Alligator mississippiensis: one gene and its partner. The protein of the gene in region 2 interacts with the protein of the main gene of each other region in a biochemical or structural test. Links are inferred from orthologs where the notes say so. Each region holds a gene or a part of one and is shown on either strand. Other genes may lie near its edges.

Evidence for each region.
Region 1: the proteins of NXF1 (region 2) and RBM15 form a complex in vitro, tested with the Homo sapiens proteins (2 studies listed by BioGRID). The link is inferred for Alligator mississippiensis from reciprocal best matches to the Homo sapiens genes NXF1 and RBM15.

What each region holds. Positions count from the first base shown.
Region 1 is NC_081837.1:34,891,802-34,895,543, reverse strand, and holds the start of RBM15 (RNA-binding protein 15), read right to left. Parts: upstream 2,334-3,742; 5' UTR 2,246-2,333; coding exon 1-2,245. UniProt on the Homo sapiens protein: RNA-binding protein that acts as a key regulator of N6-methyladenosine (m6A) methylation of RNAs, thereby regulating different processes, such as hematopoietic cell homeostasis, alternative splicing of mRNAs and X chromosome inactivation mediated by Xist RNA.
Region 2 is NC_081838.1:3,279,003-3,282,744, reverse strand, and holds the start of NXF1 (nuclear RNA export factor 1), read right to left. Parts: upstream 2,384-3,742; 5' UTR 2,374-2,383; coding exon 2,253-2,373; intron 1,874-2,252; coding exon 1,666-1,873; intron 1,431-1,665; coding exon 1,265-1,430; intron 1,126-1,264; coding exon 1,042-1,125; intron 654-1,041; coding exon 549-653; intron 400-548; coding exon 319-399; intron 191-318; coding exon 121-190; intron 27-120; coding exon 1-26.

The DNA.
Region 1 (3,742 bases), on a different chromosome or scaffold from region 2:
GCTCATCCTTTTTGGCTGGACTCTTGCACTCCTGGGCAGCAACTACCGCTGAGACACGGTGCTTCCTCTCTCTTTCAGCAGAGTTCTTGCGGTCACGCTTCTCACTCTGGCCACGCTCCAGGCTGCCCCTGCGTGACTCCCGAATTGGTGACGGCCGCTCCAGCAGGAGCAAACGGGAGGAACGCTCTGCATCACTAAGGTAACGCTCCCGGGTCACACCAGGATCAGGGCTGCGGTCTGGGGGAGAGGCTGCAGCCAGGCAATGTCGCTTACGGGACGAAGACGAGCGCTCGCTGTCTGGAGAGCGGTCCAAGTGCCGGCCTCCATCCTCAGCCAGTCTCCGTTTCCTGGGTTGGTCCCTGCTACTGCTACCCAACTCCCTCTCCCCTCGGTCTCTCTCCAGGGACCAACCATCCCGCCGACGCTCCAGACTTTCCAGAGGGTCATAGGCAGCTGCTCGATTACTCCTGTCCCGTACAGGGGGTGGCGGAGGCACCCACTCCGCCTCAGGATAAAGGTCTCTGTCCCGGTCTCTGTACAGCAACGGTGGTGTCCTATCCCGGGCACCCCGAAGTGGGTCAGGTGGGGCTCCCCGATGAGCCCCAAATGCAGCTGCCTCTGCCACTAGCTCATAGTGGGCAGGTGGGGGCAAGGGCAGCGGCTGCAGGTATGGCTGCTGGTAGCGATGCTCCGTGTCCGCAAAGTCCACTCGGAGGCGGCGGTCGGGCCCACCCAAAGGGAAACCACGCATGTGGGTGCAGGCAGCCTGTGCCGCATCCAGGCTCTCATACTGGATGTAGGCCCACGAATCACCTTTCCGATAATCAATAGTGCGGATGGTACCAAAACGGTCAAATTCCCTGGCCAAGGCAGCCAGTGGCACCCAGGGCCCCAGGCCCCCCACCCAGAGCCGGGTGGTGGGGGTGGCTTTGCCATACCCGATTTTGATGGGGTTGCGCAGAAGAACTTTGCCCGACATGGCGAGCTTGGCCCTGTGAGCCATGTCCAGGTTCTCAAACTTAAGGAAGCCGTAGGTGCTGGTCTGGCCGCGGCCCGGCCTCTTGATGTCCACCTCCGTGATGACTCCAAACCGGTCGAAGGCGCGCCGCAGGTCCGACTCGCTCACCGTGATGTCCAGGTTGCCCAGGAACAGCGTGCGGTTGGCTCGCTGGTCGTCCTCGGGGCTGATCTCCTCCTCGCCGGCCGCTCCGGCACCCCCTCCTCCTCCTCGGAAGCCGCCGGCGGCCGCCACGCCAGCCACCCGCTCCAGCCCGTACGCTGGCCGCACGCGGGTGTCATAGAAAGCCCCGTAATCCCGTTCCCGCTCCAGCTCGCGGGGCAGCGGGGGCGGCGGCGGCAGGCGGCCCAGGGCGAGCTGCTGCAGGCGGTAGTCTCTGTAGCCCAAACCGCCCCCCCCTCCAGCAGGCGACAAGGCCCTCTGCGTGGCGCCGGCCGCGGGGTGCCGCACAGCGGCAGCCGCAGCCGCCACACCCGCCACCGCGGCCACGTAGGGGGACTCCTTGTCCAGCAGCGCGGGGGAGCGGCTGCCGCGGCGCCGGCCACTCCCGCCGCCGACGTACACGGCCTCGATCTTGAGCGGGCGGTTGTAGAGCACGAGGCGGCCGCGGGCGTGCTTGGCGGCGCGGGCGTCCTCGGGCCGGCGGAAGTTGACGAAGGCCACGCGCTCGTCGGCGGCGCCGGTGCCGGGCGGGAGGCGGCTGATCTTGACGCTCACGTCGCCGAAGCGCTTGAACTCGTGGAAGAGCCCGTCCTCCACCGCCTCGTCGCTCAGCGCCGAGCCCAGCTCGCTGATCTTCAGCGTCTTGTACTCGCCGCCGCCGCCGCCCCCCGACTCGGACGAGGAGGACGAGGGGGGCGGCGCCGCCCGGGACTCCCCCCCGCCGCCGCCACCGCCGCCCCGGCTCCCGCCGCCGCTGCCCCGCGACGACTCGGCGTTCTTGCCGCTGTAGCCGTGGCGGCTACTGCCGCCGCCGCCGGGCGCCGCCCCCGCCTCGTACTCGCGGCTGCCGGCGCGGCCCGCCTTGTCCGGGTGCAGGCCCCGCCGGCCGCTCTCGCCCGAGCCGCCCGCCGCCTTGCCGCCGCCGTTGCTGCCGCCCGCGCCGGAGCCGCTCGGCTTCTTGCTGCTGCGCTCGGCCCGCGCCGACGAGGAGGAGGGCGCCGAGTCCTCGCCGCCGCCGCCCCGGGACCGCTTGGCCTTGGCCGGGGAGCGCTCCTTGCCCTTCATGGCGCCGAGCACCTCCGGGACGGCTTCCCTGACGGACGGACCCGCGCTCACGCACGCGCCGCCATCTTGGAACCCGCCGCGGAAATGGTCCCCGCCCCCCTGTCCGCCATTGGGCCACTCTATCCTCCCCCGCTGCTGCCGTTGGGCGCTGGTCTTGTCAGTCCGGGAGGCCCCACCCTGGCCGCTCGTTGATTGGGTGGCTGCGCTGCCTCTCTTCGCTGTCTCGTGCTCGGGTGGCTTGTGAGGGAAGGTCCCCCCTTTGGAGGCTCTGATTGGCCGCTGCGGGGTTCTGATTGGGCGAGCCGCCTGTCAATCGTAACGGTTTCGGGGTGAGACCGTCCTACCCCGCTCCTCCGGCTCTCATTGAGCGGAGAGCGGCGGGGCCTCGCGTCTCTGATTGGTGAGGATCCGCGTCATTTCGAACCGGCCTGCTCTGGGCGCCGGGAACCCGCCCCTGCCTCTCATTGGTCAAAAGTCGCTTTGCCCCTTCTCTGTGACTGGATGGGGCTTGTGTCCGTCGGAGCAGTTCAGCGGGACAGGCCGTGACCTTACCTCTCGTTGTGATTGGCCTACCGCTCTCCCGTCCCGCCCTACCAATGTGATAGGCTGAGCCGCACGTCCCTCCGGGATAAGCGCGGGATGCCGCCGGACCCTGGCCCTTCGCCCTCATTGGTTGATGAAAATCTCCTTATCGATCTGATTGGATGGAGGTGAGGAGCCTTCTGATGGGCGGGGGAGGGTGTCAGTCACGCCGAGAGTTTAAGTAATTGGCTTAGGGAGGATGCGGGGCGGTGCTTTTTGGACGCCAGCTCCAAAGTAGGGGGCTCTCGCTTGCTGCTCCGCTTTCTGTTCCCATCACGGTATCCTGCCTCTGGTCTTCAGCTCTGCTTTCCGCTCCCTGCGCCGTATTCCCCTCCCTGCTGATTTGCCACTCGACTTTCTGCTCCTTTCCCTACTTCACTGCCCAAGACACTGGCTCTGCTTTTTGCTCTCTGCCCTGGGGGTCCTCATGCATTCCACTCTGCTGTCTGCTCCCTGCCCTCTCTTCTACAGCTCCAGCCTCTGCTCTGCTGTCTGCTCCCTGCCCTCTCTTCTACAGCTCCAGCCTCTGCTCTGCTGTCTGCTCCCTGCCCTCTCTTCTACAGCTCCAGCCTCTGCTCTGCTGTCTGCTCCCTGCCATCTCTTCTACAGCTCCAGCCTCTGCTCTGCTGTCTGCTCCCTGCCCTCTCTTCTACAGCTCCAGCCTCTGCTCTGCTGTCTGCTCCCTGCCATCTCTTCTACAGCTCCAGCCTCTGCTCTGCTGTCTGCTCCCTGCCATCTCTTCTGCTCCAGCCTCTGCTCTGCTGTCTGCTCCCTGCCATCTCTTCTACTGCTCCAACTTCTGCTCTGCTTTCTGCTTTCCACCAGTGTGCCGCCTGTCCCAGTCCAGTCTCCCACGTGCCCCACACAGAGGCTGCCCGCACCACTTGCCCCCTGCCCTAGACTAGACAACCTCTG
Region 2 (3,742 bases):
CATGTCGACGTTCTGCGCCACCAGGTCTAAGGCGAAAGGGAGACAAAGTCTGAGCCCCTGTCCAGCCGCCACCCCCGCCCTTCCCCTCCCTCCCTCCCCCCACCCTATCTGGACACGCACCAGAGTCTGTGCGGAGGTCCTTGAGGTCCAGGGCCTGCTGGAGACGGTCATACCTCTTGCTCATGCAAAGCTGAAATAGCAGAAAATGCAGATCAGAGGGTGGGGGCTGGGGGGGGTACAGTTCCCCTTCTCTACCTGGCACTGATTAATGGCTGGAAGTCGCCCCCAAACGCCAGGCACTGAGCCCTAGGGCCTTACCTTCAGATGTTCAATCTCCTCTGGCTTCAACTCGTTCTGGACAGACTGGGGCGGGGCCGACGAGTTGATGATTATCACCACCTGGAGCGTGGGCAAAGCAGGTCGACGGGGGTCTCAGCAGCACCCCAAGGCTGCTCCAGCTGGGAGAGAGACCCCCAGAGCAGCACAGGAGCCTCCCTCCCCCCTCGGAAGGCAATGATGAGGCCCAGCTGAGGGACCTGACCCCACACCTTGTAGTTCTCTCTGTCCGTGATCTTGCGGGACACCAGTTTGAGAGCGCTGGCCGCAGTGGCGTCTTCTACGTAGAACTGAGCCCGGTTGTGGTCGTAATGGAACTGAAAAGGGGAGAGAAACAAGGCGGTCAGGGAGACCTGAGCGCCGCCCTCCCAAGAACTGGGCAAGGAGAATCCCCCAGGCCCTTCCTCCCCGCAGCAAGGGCAGTGTCTAGGAAATTCAAAGCCTGGAAAAAAACCCCCCAACTGTCTGGCCTGAGACAGTGACCCGGCAGGCACCCGCCCGAGAGCTGGGAGAGAAGTCAGTCATCCCGGCTCCTAAACGCGCTGCTCTGAGCCCCTGCCACCACCAGGTAGAGAGCGCAGGCCCCCCCCGGTCCCACTCTGCTCTGACCCCTCCCGAGACCCCGCTCTCCCCCTGATGCTGGGAGACAGTCCAAGCATCCGGCTCCCAAGCCTCTCTGCCTGTGGGCTCCGAGCTGGCACTCACCTCCACGGGGTTGAAAGGGACGGTGCACACATTCTGGATAGCGGTCAGCAGCCACGACCGGTCGTACTTCCTCCCGTACGGGATCTGCCAAGGAAAGTCGCCCGCTGGCGAGCGTCAGAGCCGGCAGAGGGACCTGGGCTGCCCCGCAACCGACTGGGAGCTCCCGGCCAGGGCGTGCCCAGGCTGGCGGGGAGACCTTGCCCCCGCCCCCACGATCGCTCACCGTGATCTTGAACCAGTTCTTCCGGGTGCCGTCGCGCCCGGCATTGCCGCCGCGATCTGGGACGGGCTGGTCGCGCCTCGCTGTGACATGGATGTTGCTGGCGCCGCCCCGGCCCCTATCATGCCAATCGTCACCTCGCCGGTTTGGCCGCGACCCGTAAGGGGTGCTGGGGACCAAGGGACGAGGGGTCCTCAGCAGGCGAGTGCAGGCCCCTCGTGGGATCTGCTGAGCCTGGGGACAGTTGCATCCGCCCCGGATGCCTCCCAGCACTGCAGCTCCCCCCCCCCCCCCCCGTCTCCCTCCCCCTACGAGGGCAGCTTCCACGTCGCGTTCGTCGCCCTCCTGCCACCCCCAGCGCGGACGAGGCAACGGGAGCCAGAGCGGGGAAGCCCCGTGCTCACTATCTGCAGCGGGGCCCGTCGTGGACGTCGCTCATGGGCACGTCGCCGTCTTCCTCGTCCAGGCGGCCGCGGGGGCTGGGGCCGGGGCCGTGGCCGGCGCCGCCCCGGTTGCGCGGCCGGTGGTTCGGGTCGCTGTACATCTTGCCGCGGAAGGGGCCTCGGCCTTTCCTCCGCCGGCCTGGCCCGCCGCCCACGCGGTCGTCGTGCTCTGCACGGGGGAGACGGGGTGGGGGGGAGGCGGGGGGGGGGTCAGCCCAGGCATGTTCTCCCAGGCCCTCCCCTGAGCCCCGCCCCCACCCCCATAAACTTCACGTCCAGGAGCTCCACAAGCCCCGCCTCCTAACCCCCAAACTCCGCCCCAGACACCCAATCCCTAAACTCCGCCCCCAGGAGCCCCCTAAGTCCTGTCTCGACCCGACCCCTAAGTCAAAGACCCGCCCACTCCCTAAGCCACGCCCACAGCCCCACTTCCTCTGGCCCCAACTCGCCAGCCCCGCCCCCGGACCCCCACTCCCCAGCCCCACTTCCTGTAGCCCCGCCCCTAGACCCCAACCCCTAAGCCCCACCCCCGGCGGGCGCCCCCTCACCGTTGTAGCTGCCCTTCCCGTCCTCCGCCATCGCGGGGCCTCCTCGCGCCGCCGCCGGGCCCGGTCCCGGGGAGCCGGGCAACCGACCCGCCGCTCCTCGCCCAGCGTCGCCACAGCGCATGCGCAAAGGGCTCAGGCGGACCCCCACGGCGCATGCGCGCCCAGACGGGGCTCACCGCGCAAGCGCAACGAGAGCGCGTAGGCTGACCCCACCAGCGGGAGACGCCGCGCATGCGCAGCCGGGCCGGAAGGCGGTGTGCCACCCTTCGCGGCGCCGCGCATGTTCCAAGCGGCTTCGCCTCCCCCGCGCATGCTCATTCCCGCTGGTAGCGCCGCCTCTGGGCGGGAGGAGGGACTGCACCCACCTCTCTCAGGGTGGCAGGTTCGAGTCCCTCCGCGGGATGAACCCGGCCCCAGGGCCAAGCGAATGGGGCGGTCCCCTTTCGTGCAGAGACCAGCCCCTTCTTGTTGTGCATCCACCCTGGGTCCAGCCCCTCCTCAGGGGAGACAGGACAGGCTCTCACCCCATGGGCACCAAGAGCTGCCCCCACCCAGCACCACTGCTCTCCCCCACCCCAGGCCTGCCTCTGCCTGCCCCTCTGACACCAGCCCCCATGGCCTTGGCCCAGCTCTAGGGGGAGGGTTCAGACCAATCTGGCCCCAGGAAACCCTCCCCCAAGGGCCACAGTCCCACCCCCAGCCCAGCCTGGAGCAGAGAAGGGCAGGCGGCAGGCTGGGGTTACAGTAAAGCTTTAATGTATGTCCCATTGGGCGCAGCTCCCCGGCTCCGGCCTCACCGTGCCAGGAAGGGGGTGTGCCCAGAAGGGAGCAGGGCACAATCCCTCACTGCCGCCCCCTGCCCCCAGTGGGCTGCTCTCATCCAGCCAGAAAGGGGCAGCACCCCCCAAGGAATGTGGATGCCCAAAAGGGCAGGGGGCCGGGGGGAGAGGGCAGCCACCATGACCAGGCCAGAGGGTAGGGGCCGTGGCGTAGGCTGGGGGGATGGAGAGAGGAATTCAGTTCAAACTTGAGAGGCCACGCAGTGTTAGGGAACACAAAGGGCCCTTTAGGCCAACCTGGGGGTGGGGGGTCATCATCACAGTACAGCCCGTTCCTGGAACTGGGGGCCCCCACTGGGCTCTGCCAACCCCCTGGGGCAGCTTGCGTTTCACAGGGGCCACACCAGAGAGACCCAAGGGGGTTGTGTGGGGCAGCTATGAGGACCACAGGCCCAGCCCCTGCCAGAGAGCAGGGATAAGGGATAAACTTAAATACAGAAAAAATAAAAATGGGGTGGAGGGTATACTGGGCCATGTCCATGAACCGAGAGCCCCTGGGGGGGGACAAAGGCACAGCAGGGAGGGTAAACGGGGGCAGTGAGTCCTGGCTGCACGGAGAGGGCGAGACCCCACTCCTCACCAGCAGAAAAAGTGGGGGGAGGGGTGGTAGGCTCTGGCAAGAGTCCGAGTGCCGGGGCTTCCCCCATGCTG